Mus musculus: one gene and its partner. The protein of the gene in region 2 interacts with the protein of the main gene of each other region in a biochemical or structural test. Links are inferred from orthologs where the notes say so. Each region holds a gene or a part of one and is shown on either strand. Other genes may lie near its edges.

Region 1 (3,750 bases), on a different chromosome or scaffold from region 2:
TAAAAAAGTAACAGGATGTCTTCACCCTGGAGCAGTAGAATGCCTTAACTCACAGCCAGCCATGAGAGCAATCATGGGGTCTTGAGTAATCTCAGTAAGGAGGTTCTGTATGAAGTTAAAAACTAAAACCCTGCCCTGCATTTTGGTAGCTGTGTCTCCTGACCAACAGAATGCCCCTTTGTGGTTAAATGCCCTGAGATGTCTGTCTGTTCATCTCTCTCTCACTCTCTCTTTCTCTCTCTCCAGGGCATTTTCCCCTATAGTTGCACTAAAATGAAGTGTCTGAAACGCAAAAGATCTCAATTTCATTATATTATTATAGACATTGTGGTTTTGTGACCTGCTTTCCCTTGTGGTTGTTTTCTAGAGCAGCACAGGAAGAAATACCTCAAAAGGAAGACTTGGTTGATCGTGATATGGAAGTGAAAATAATTTAAATTTCTAAAATTACTTTTGCCTTATATAGCTTACCTTTCTCTGTTAAATGTGCAGTTTGAATTGGAACTTCATGGAAGCAAGTGTATTTTATTCAAATCCATCATATCTTGTGTTGGAATATTACTTATCTCATGAATACACTACCGTCTTAATCATAAATATTTCTTTAAAACCCACAATGCCGAACTTAACTTTTGCTTCAACAGCCTATGTCTCTCAACAGTAATTTTTCCTTTTGGAGGACCAGAATGAAGAGATCCCTATTTAAACAAACAAACAAGCAAACACACAGACACCCAACTTAAAAAATTTCAATATATAAGAAACAAATGAATCAGCAAATATTAAGAACCTGTCTTATGGAGGCCAATGTGGACTTGAATTGTGTGGAAAATGAAAGAACTTGAAATTAGAGTTTTGTATATTATTGTTCTGTTTAATGTTATGCTTTCTTCGCTGGTGATACGGTAAATGTCATTAGTTTCATAGCAACACGGGAATATGATGGTTCAATTCGTGATAGCTATGACAGTTCTTGGGGCTTCTGTATATATTGAAACATGTATTAGCTTAGACTGATATTTAAGACCCAGGTCACCTGGCCTCTGAGCGATCCTTCCCATTTCGCTGGTAAGTCAGTTAATTTGTTTCAAACGGACTGTGTTTTGAGGTGACTACATCACTGACCAAAAGCCACAGAGGAAAAAGCTGTCAGGGAAACCACTAAAGGACTCTTTACAGCTAGCGAGTGGGGCGTGTCGCCGCAGAGCATGCGCAGCAGCAGAGGCGGAAGCGAGCCTCCCTGGGGCGGAAGTGACGCACCGCCGGCTCTCCGCTTAGAGAAGGTGTAGCCGGTCTACGCTGAGAGGCAGTGGTGGTGGCCGCGGAGGTTCGGGGCGCGGCGTAGCGTGCGGGGCGGAGGCCCTGACCGGTAAGGTTTGCGGACGGGCCGCGTGCTTTCGAGGTAACCGGCGCTCGCGCTCCGTCTCGGCCCTGGAACCCGGGCCTGGCGAGTTTTGGGAACGGTCTCCGTGGTGACGAAGCTCTCTTTCCCAAGGACGAGCTTCCCCCGGGCCGCGATTGTGACGTGTTTTGGGCTTGGGGTGACCGTAGAGTGGGAAGCGTGGCGGGAGCGGGCGTGCTAGGCCGCGGCTGGCCCCGGCTGGCCCCGGCGTCTAACAAGCCAGGGACGGGTGGCGGGCGCGCTAGGCCGCGGCGAGCCGGGGAGGACCCGTTGGGTTGTTTTGGTTTGAGTCTCCGCTGGAGGAAGAGGCGGGGACTCCCTGTGTCGCCTGGTTTGGCTGTTTACCTGGCTTGGCTTGATCTCCGGCTTCTCCTGGGCTGAGAGATTAGTTGAGTCTTGCTGTTTGGAAAGCAGCCCTCCCCCTCTGGTGCCCAAGAGAAGGCTTTAAGAAATCTTGGGGAGGATCGCTTCGCTCTGTGGTCGTCTGGACTTGATTTCACGACTCCGCCTCCCTCGCTCCACCCACTGCTGACTCTCCCCGGTGTTTTGGACCCGGCGGAAGGTGCAAGACGTGTTCTGGCTAGCGCTCATCGCCCGAAAACTGTACTGTTAGAACGTAGCTGGGGTGTTCGCTTGTATTTCCCTGTTGAGAAATATGAAGTACAATTTGTTCCTGAAAGTTTTGTTGGAAAACGTTGTGGCGTTTGACTATGATAGATTTCCGGCTTTATCGTTATGTTGGTATGTTAGACATTTTAATGCTAAGTATCTGCCAAGTATGCTGCTTTTTGCCAAGTGGTAAAAATTCATGATTAGGACACGAACAAATATAATTAAAATTTTAGTGTTCAATCCCAAAACATTCGAAAATGGTTATTTGAATAACATTCCTTAAAAGTGGGTTGATTAAGTGGGTTTGTGATCTCCAGGTTACCCTCTAGGTGTGGAGAAGAAGCTGAGGCCAAGGACTCGCCTCCATTCTATTCTTCTCAGGGGTAAATTGGATTTCTGTATGTCCCTTTCGAATGTTAGGCAAACGCCCTGAACTTATCTTAGATTTCTGCAAGAATATATTTGACTATGCTAGGAATGACTGGTTAACCTCCTCCCCCTCGTCTTTGTTATTTGTTAAATTTCAAATACAGTTGTATTGTATTATTTGTTTTCAAGTTATTACATTAGCTGCATACCATTTGCTCTTAGAATCACAGTCGTGTATGTGAAATGTATGTGAAATGTAACCATTGAGTACCTTTTCTAGGACAAAAATAACATCTTGGAATTATAAATTGTAACCTTTAAAGGATGCTGTTTTTAAAAAAATTTAGACTTATGCGTATGAGTGTTTTGCTTGCATTTTATGCCTGGTTATATCTGACTTAAGTCAGAAGAGGATGTCAGATCTCCTGGAACTAGAGTGATAGATGGTGTGAACCACCATGTAGGTGCTGTGAACCCAACTTAGGTCCTCTGTAAGAGCAGTAAGTGCTCTTAATTACTGAGTCAGCGCTCCATCCCCTAGGATGCTAAGTTGGTTTTTAAAAAAAGATTTATTTATTTTATTTTAATACACACACACTGTAGCTGTACAGATGGTTGTGAGCCTTCATGGGGTTGTTGGGTATTGAATTTAGGACCTCTGCTCGCTCCGGCCCAAACATTTATTTATTATTATAAATAAGTACACTGTAGCTGTCTTCAGACACACCAGAAGAGAGCATCGGATCTCATTATGGGTGATTGGCTGCTGGGATTTGAACTCAGGACCTTCGGAAGAGCAGTCAATGCTCTTACCTGCTGAACCATCTCGCCAGCCGGATGCTAAAGTTTTTATATGCAGTTCTAACTATATATTTATATTTCCTTGGAAGAATTAACTTACCTGTAAATTTTATTTTTACTTATTTATTGGCTGGGTCTTAACTATGTTGTAGCCCTGGCTGTCCTGGAGCTCTGCATGGAAACCAGGCTGGCTTCTGCCTGTTTTCTGAGTGCTGATGTTAAGGTGTTTTCAACCAAGCCCTGCTTCACCTGTGAAGCTTGTTGGTGTATTTTCTTTGGACTGATTGTTAGTATGTAAACTTTGGGCTTTCTGCACTTGTAGCTCTAAAGTTTACATTGTTCTAAATAAGCCTTAATAGAAATTACAAAGTTCTATCTTCTAATACTTGTGGGCCAAGAACAGTGTTTTACAAATGAACGTATTTTAAAAGATACAAAAATTAAGTTAAATTGGATCTGATATTTTATCAGCTGGGATTATAGCGCTTGGGAGCTGAGGCAGGGAGGAGTGTCGTGAGCTTGAGGCCAGCCTCAACTAGAGTTGCACAGCGAGTCTTTCTCAAAAG
Region 2 (3,750 bases):
CAACAATCTAGCTCATTTGAAGGACAAAAACCAAAGTTCCATCCTGACCAGAAACATCATATACTGCTCAGCTACAATGAAATCAATCCAGGATTAGATTGCAGTGTTAATTCCTATAAACCCATCAAAATGAAAAGCACATAATACTTAATACATGCTGGAACCACTCCAGACGTGATGCCAAAGCATTGGGTCACTGCTCAAGGCCTTGAGAAAGAAGACAGAATTCTCAGTTCGTTCTAGACTCCATGCATGGCCTATCACAGTTTACCTAGGGTACCGACTCCTAATCTCCAGATCAGGCCTACAAAGGGCTCTCAATAGTTCACCAAGTAAACCGAAATCAAGACAACTTCTGGGCAAAGGAGGAGAGAGGCTTTGTTGTCAGAGACTTCCATGTGTACTCAGAGTCTGGACTTTGCCCCTCCAAAGCTACAAGCAAGTATTCATTCTCTGAGCCTCTGTTTTCTCCTCTATAAAAGGAAAGGCTGTCAACCTGGAATATTATTTTGTAAATCAAACCTTTAGGGGTTTTTTTTGTGTGTCACATCACTACTAAATCGCCAGCTCATAAACTGTTAACAAAGTATCTCTTTCTGGGAATCACCATTATACTGTGTGAGATTTATTCAAATTGCAATGTGTTTTTCAAATTGCAATGTTTAAATAAGATGTTCTAATATAATATATATAATAATATAAATGAAACTCCAGTACCCAGGGCCTCACACACACACACACACACACACACACACACACACACACACACGCGCGCGCACACACACACACAAGGCAAGGTCTTTACCCACTGAGTTACACTCCCAATCCTGTACCCTAAGTGGAGTTTTGAATACCAAGAGAAAGTTAAAAACTAGAGAATGGTTTTTTATGTGGAGTTCTTATGGATTTATTCAGACCTTGCATGGTGGAAATCTTTAAAACCATCTAAAGGCCTTTCAAAACCCAGATACAGTCCAGTTGTCTAAACAATAAGTGATCCACCACAGACGCCAGGCAAAGTCACAACAGGATGAGCGAGGAGCCTTCGGCTTCTCTCCGATTTCCTGGCCACTGTTATTTTAAAATTTGATCGTGTAAACAAGGGAAAATCCCTTTCGGACAAGTCCCATGGACTATAATTTGCATCTTTGTTTTTAATATGTTGTAGCTTCTATGAAAAATCATAGTTGTTCACTTTTTCTTGCTCATGTGTCTAGGTACTAAAGACCATATGTAAAATCTATACTCCACGGCTTTTTAACTGTATAATCGCAATACTCTTTTCTTAAGGGTTGTATTCTGTCCCTGCCTTTTACAAGTAACTTTTGAAAACAAATACAAAACTTGAAAGGAAGAGGGAAAAAAATGGGTAACAGATCACACACACGAAATAAAAACACTACAGGCCGACGAGCATCAGACTAAAATGACTTCTATTTATCACTGTGCCTGTTTACTCCTGTGCAACTGCAAACACAGAAAATGGGCAGACATTTAAAAGTCAATGAGCTGTTCTGAAGAACTACATTGTTTCTGGGCTTCCTCTGTCCCCCTTGTAGCATTTGTGGCCATTTCTAAAATTAATGCTAGAGAGCACTAAGGTAATTTTTTTTTCACTAAACATTTCCCAGTTGGAAAACCACAAGCCAAGATGTCTTGAAGTCGAGTTAATTTGTACAGAAATGCTGCTGTTCCGCAGCCAACCTTTGGACCATGACCACCACCAAGCTCAAGACTCAGATTTTATGGTGTTACAGCCGAGCCTCAAAGGCTGTTAAAAGTCTCAAGCTGACTAACTATATTCGAAAATCCTGCAACTGTAACACGAGAGCAAACTAAAGTTTTATTCAACACATATGAAATCGGAGCAGCGTTTGTGTAGCGCTCCAGCAGTATCTCCACATTGGGATTTAAACAGCTCTGCCCTACATACTTTATGCCGGATAAAATGTATCTTTGTGTAAAAGTTCCTGACATAGATTATCTAAGAATGGCCTTATCAAATTATTTCCTATTTTAAAATACAATCCACAGCTAGCACGTTTTAATTAGTTTAAGACGATTTGGAATTAAATAACAAAGTTATTTTCAGCAACACATCCGTAAAACTCACACTCAAAATACTAGAACGCTTAGGAACTAAAATTCCAGCTTTATAGTATGCTACCATGGTCTTCTTCGACACAGCTAAATTATTAATGGTATCAATTGATCTTTACTCTGACAACAAACTAGACTGTGTAGCTTTTTCACTGTGTTTCGAAAGGAGAAAATAAAACTATCTTGCAGTGTCGGGTGGGACTCGTCAGGTGACAGGAGCCCCGCTGGCCCGGGAAGGGGAAGCCAGAGCTCCAGTCCGCGCCGGGCAGAGCAGAGGCCAAGGCGGTGAGGACAGGCAGGCGGGCAGGCGCCCACACTCACCCGGCGAGGCAGGTGCGCGAGGGGTCGCGGCCGTGGAGAGGCTGCCGGGCTGCGGGCGCGAAGGGCAAGCGCGACACCGCGGCCGAGAGCGAGCACCGGAGACGACAGCACGACGGCGGCCGGGATACGCTTCCTGCTGGGACAGATCCCGGATCGGTCTCCACCCGCCGGCCAGAGAGCCCTGCAGAGTGCCCAGCCTGCGCACGTCACTGCTACGGAGCGCCCAAGGGGGCGGGAGGCGGGGCCGGAGGCGGGATTTTGTGGGACCGGGGCGGGGCGGCTAAAGAAAGGGCGGGTCTTCATTGGCCAGTGGGCGGGAACAGCCTAAGGGGCGGGGTCTTGGGGCAGAAGGGCTGAGAGGGGCGGGGTCCTAGGCAGCAGGACAGGGAGGACTCGCAAAGCGTAGGGTCTTGGGAATGAAGGAGCAGAGGGACGTGGCCTCAAGTCAAGGAACGCCGGGGCGGCTGTGAAGGGGAGGCCTCAAGAGCTAGGGTTGAGAGGGGCGGGACCTCATGAGGCGCCGGGGAAGGGGGTGGTTGAAGGAGTGCTGGGTAGGGGCGTGGCCTAATGGCGTGGGGCAAGAGAAGGGCGGGGCCTCAGGTTCCGACCGCATCCCTGCATCCCTGCAAGCCAAGGGCTGCAGGTAGCCCCTCATGACATTCCCTACCTCGCAGTGGTAGTTGTTTCCACTGCCACAGCGAGGGACCACAGCAAAGAGTCAGTTGAAGAAAAGTTGAGAGTGGGACAGGCGAATTGCGGAGGAACTCGCTTGTGGGGATTAAGGGTGGCACCGCAGCCCATCTAGGCTCGTGCTCCTCACCTGCCTGCGTCAACTTCCTGTTCAGCCCTTGGAGGATTGAACCACGGAAGAAAATTTTTTCTTCTCTGGCTAGCCTCCCATGCAGATATCATATTTACTTCTTACAGCCCCTGTATTTCCACCTCGCCCCCTTTGTTGTTGTTTATCTGGACTCTTGAGAGAGTCTCGGTCTGTAACCAGGCAGTCCTGGAACTCATCATGTAGCCCGCGCAAGCCTAAGAATAGTGACAATCCTTGTGGGCTGGTTTTATAGAACTGAGCCAACTGGCCCGCTTTATCTTTCCGGTTGTTTAATTTTACTGTCCTTATAAGGTCATATGTGGGTCATCTTTTTAAATTAAATATTACATTCCTATGCAAATTTGAGAGCAAACATCTCCTTTACTAGAAAAAAGAGGTTAATATGAAAACAAAATAAGGGGCTGGCAAGATAGTTCAGCCAGTGAGGGTTCTTGCAGCCCATCCTGAAGCCCAGCATGTTTCAAGGAGAGAAACAACTCCTCATATTG

The links. The genes of interacting proteins can lie anywhere in the genome.
Region 1: the proteins of Myo6 (region 2) and Tax1bp1 form a complex in vitro, tested with the Homo sapiens proteins (5 studies listed by BioGRID, with this or other methods). The link is inferred for Mus musculus from reciprocal best matches to the Homo sapiens genes MYO6 and TAX1BP1.

What each region holds. Positions count from the first base shown.
Region 1 is NC_000072.6:52,712,487-52,716,236, forward strand, and holds the start of Tax1bp1 (tax1-binding protein 1 homolog), read left to right. Parts: upstream 1-1,242; 5' UTR 1,243-1,369; intron 1,370-1,678; exon of another isoform or gene 1,679-2,143; intron 2,144-3,750.
Region 2 is NC_000075.6:80,163,901-80,167,650, reverse strand, and holds the start of Myo6 (unconventional myosin-VI), read right to left. Parts: upstream 2,618-3,750; 5' UTR 2,422-2,617; intron 1-2,421. UniProt on the Homo sapiens protein: Myosins are actin-based motor molecules with ATPase activity. Unconventional myosins serve in intracellular movements. Myosin 6 is a reverse-direction motor protein that moves towards the minus-end of actin filaments.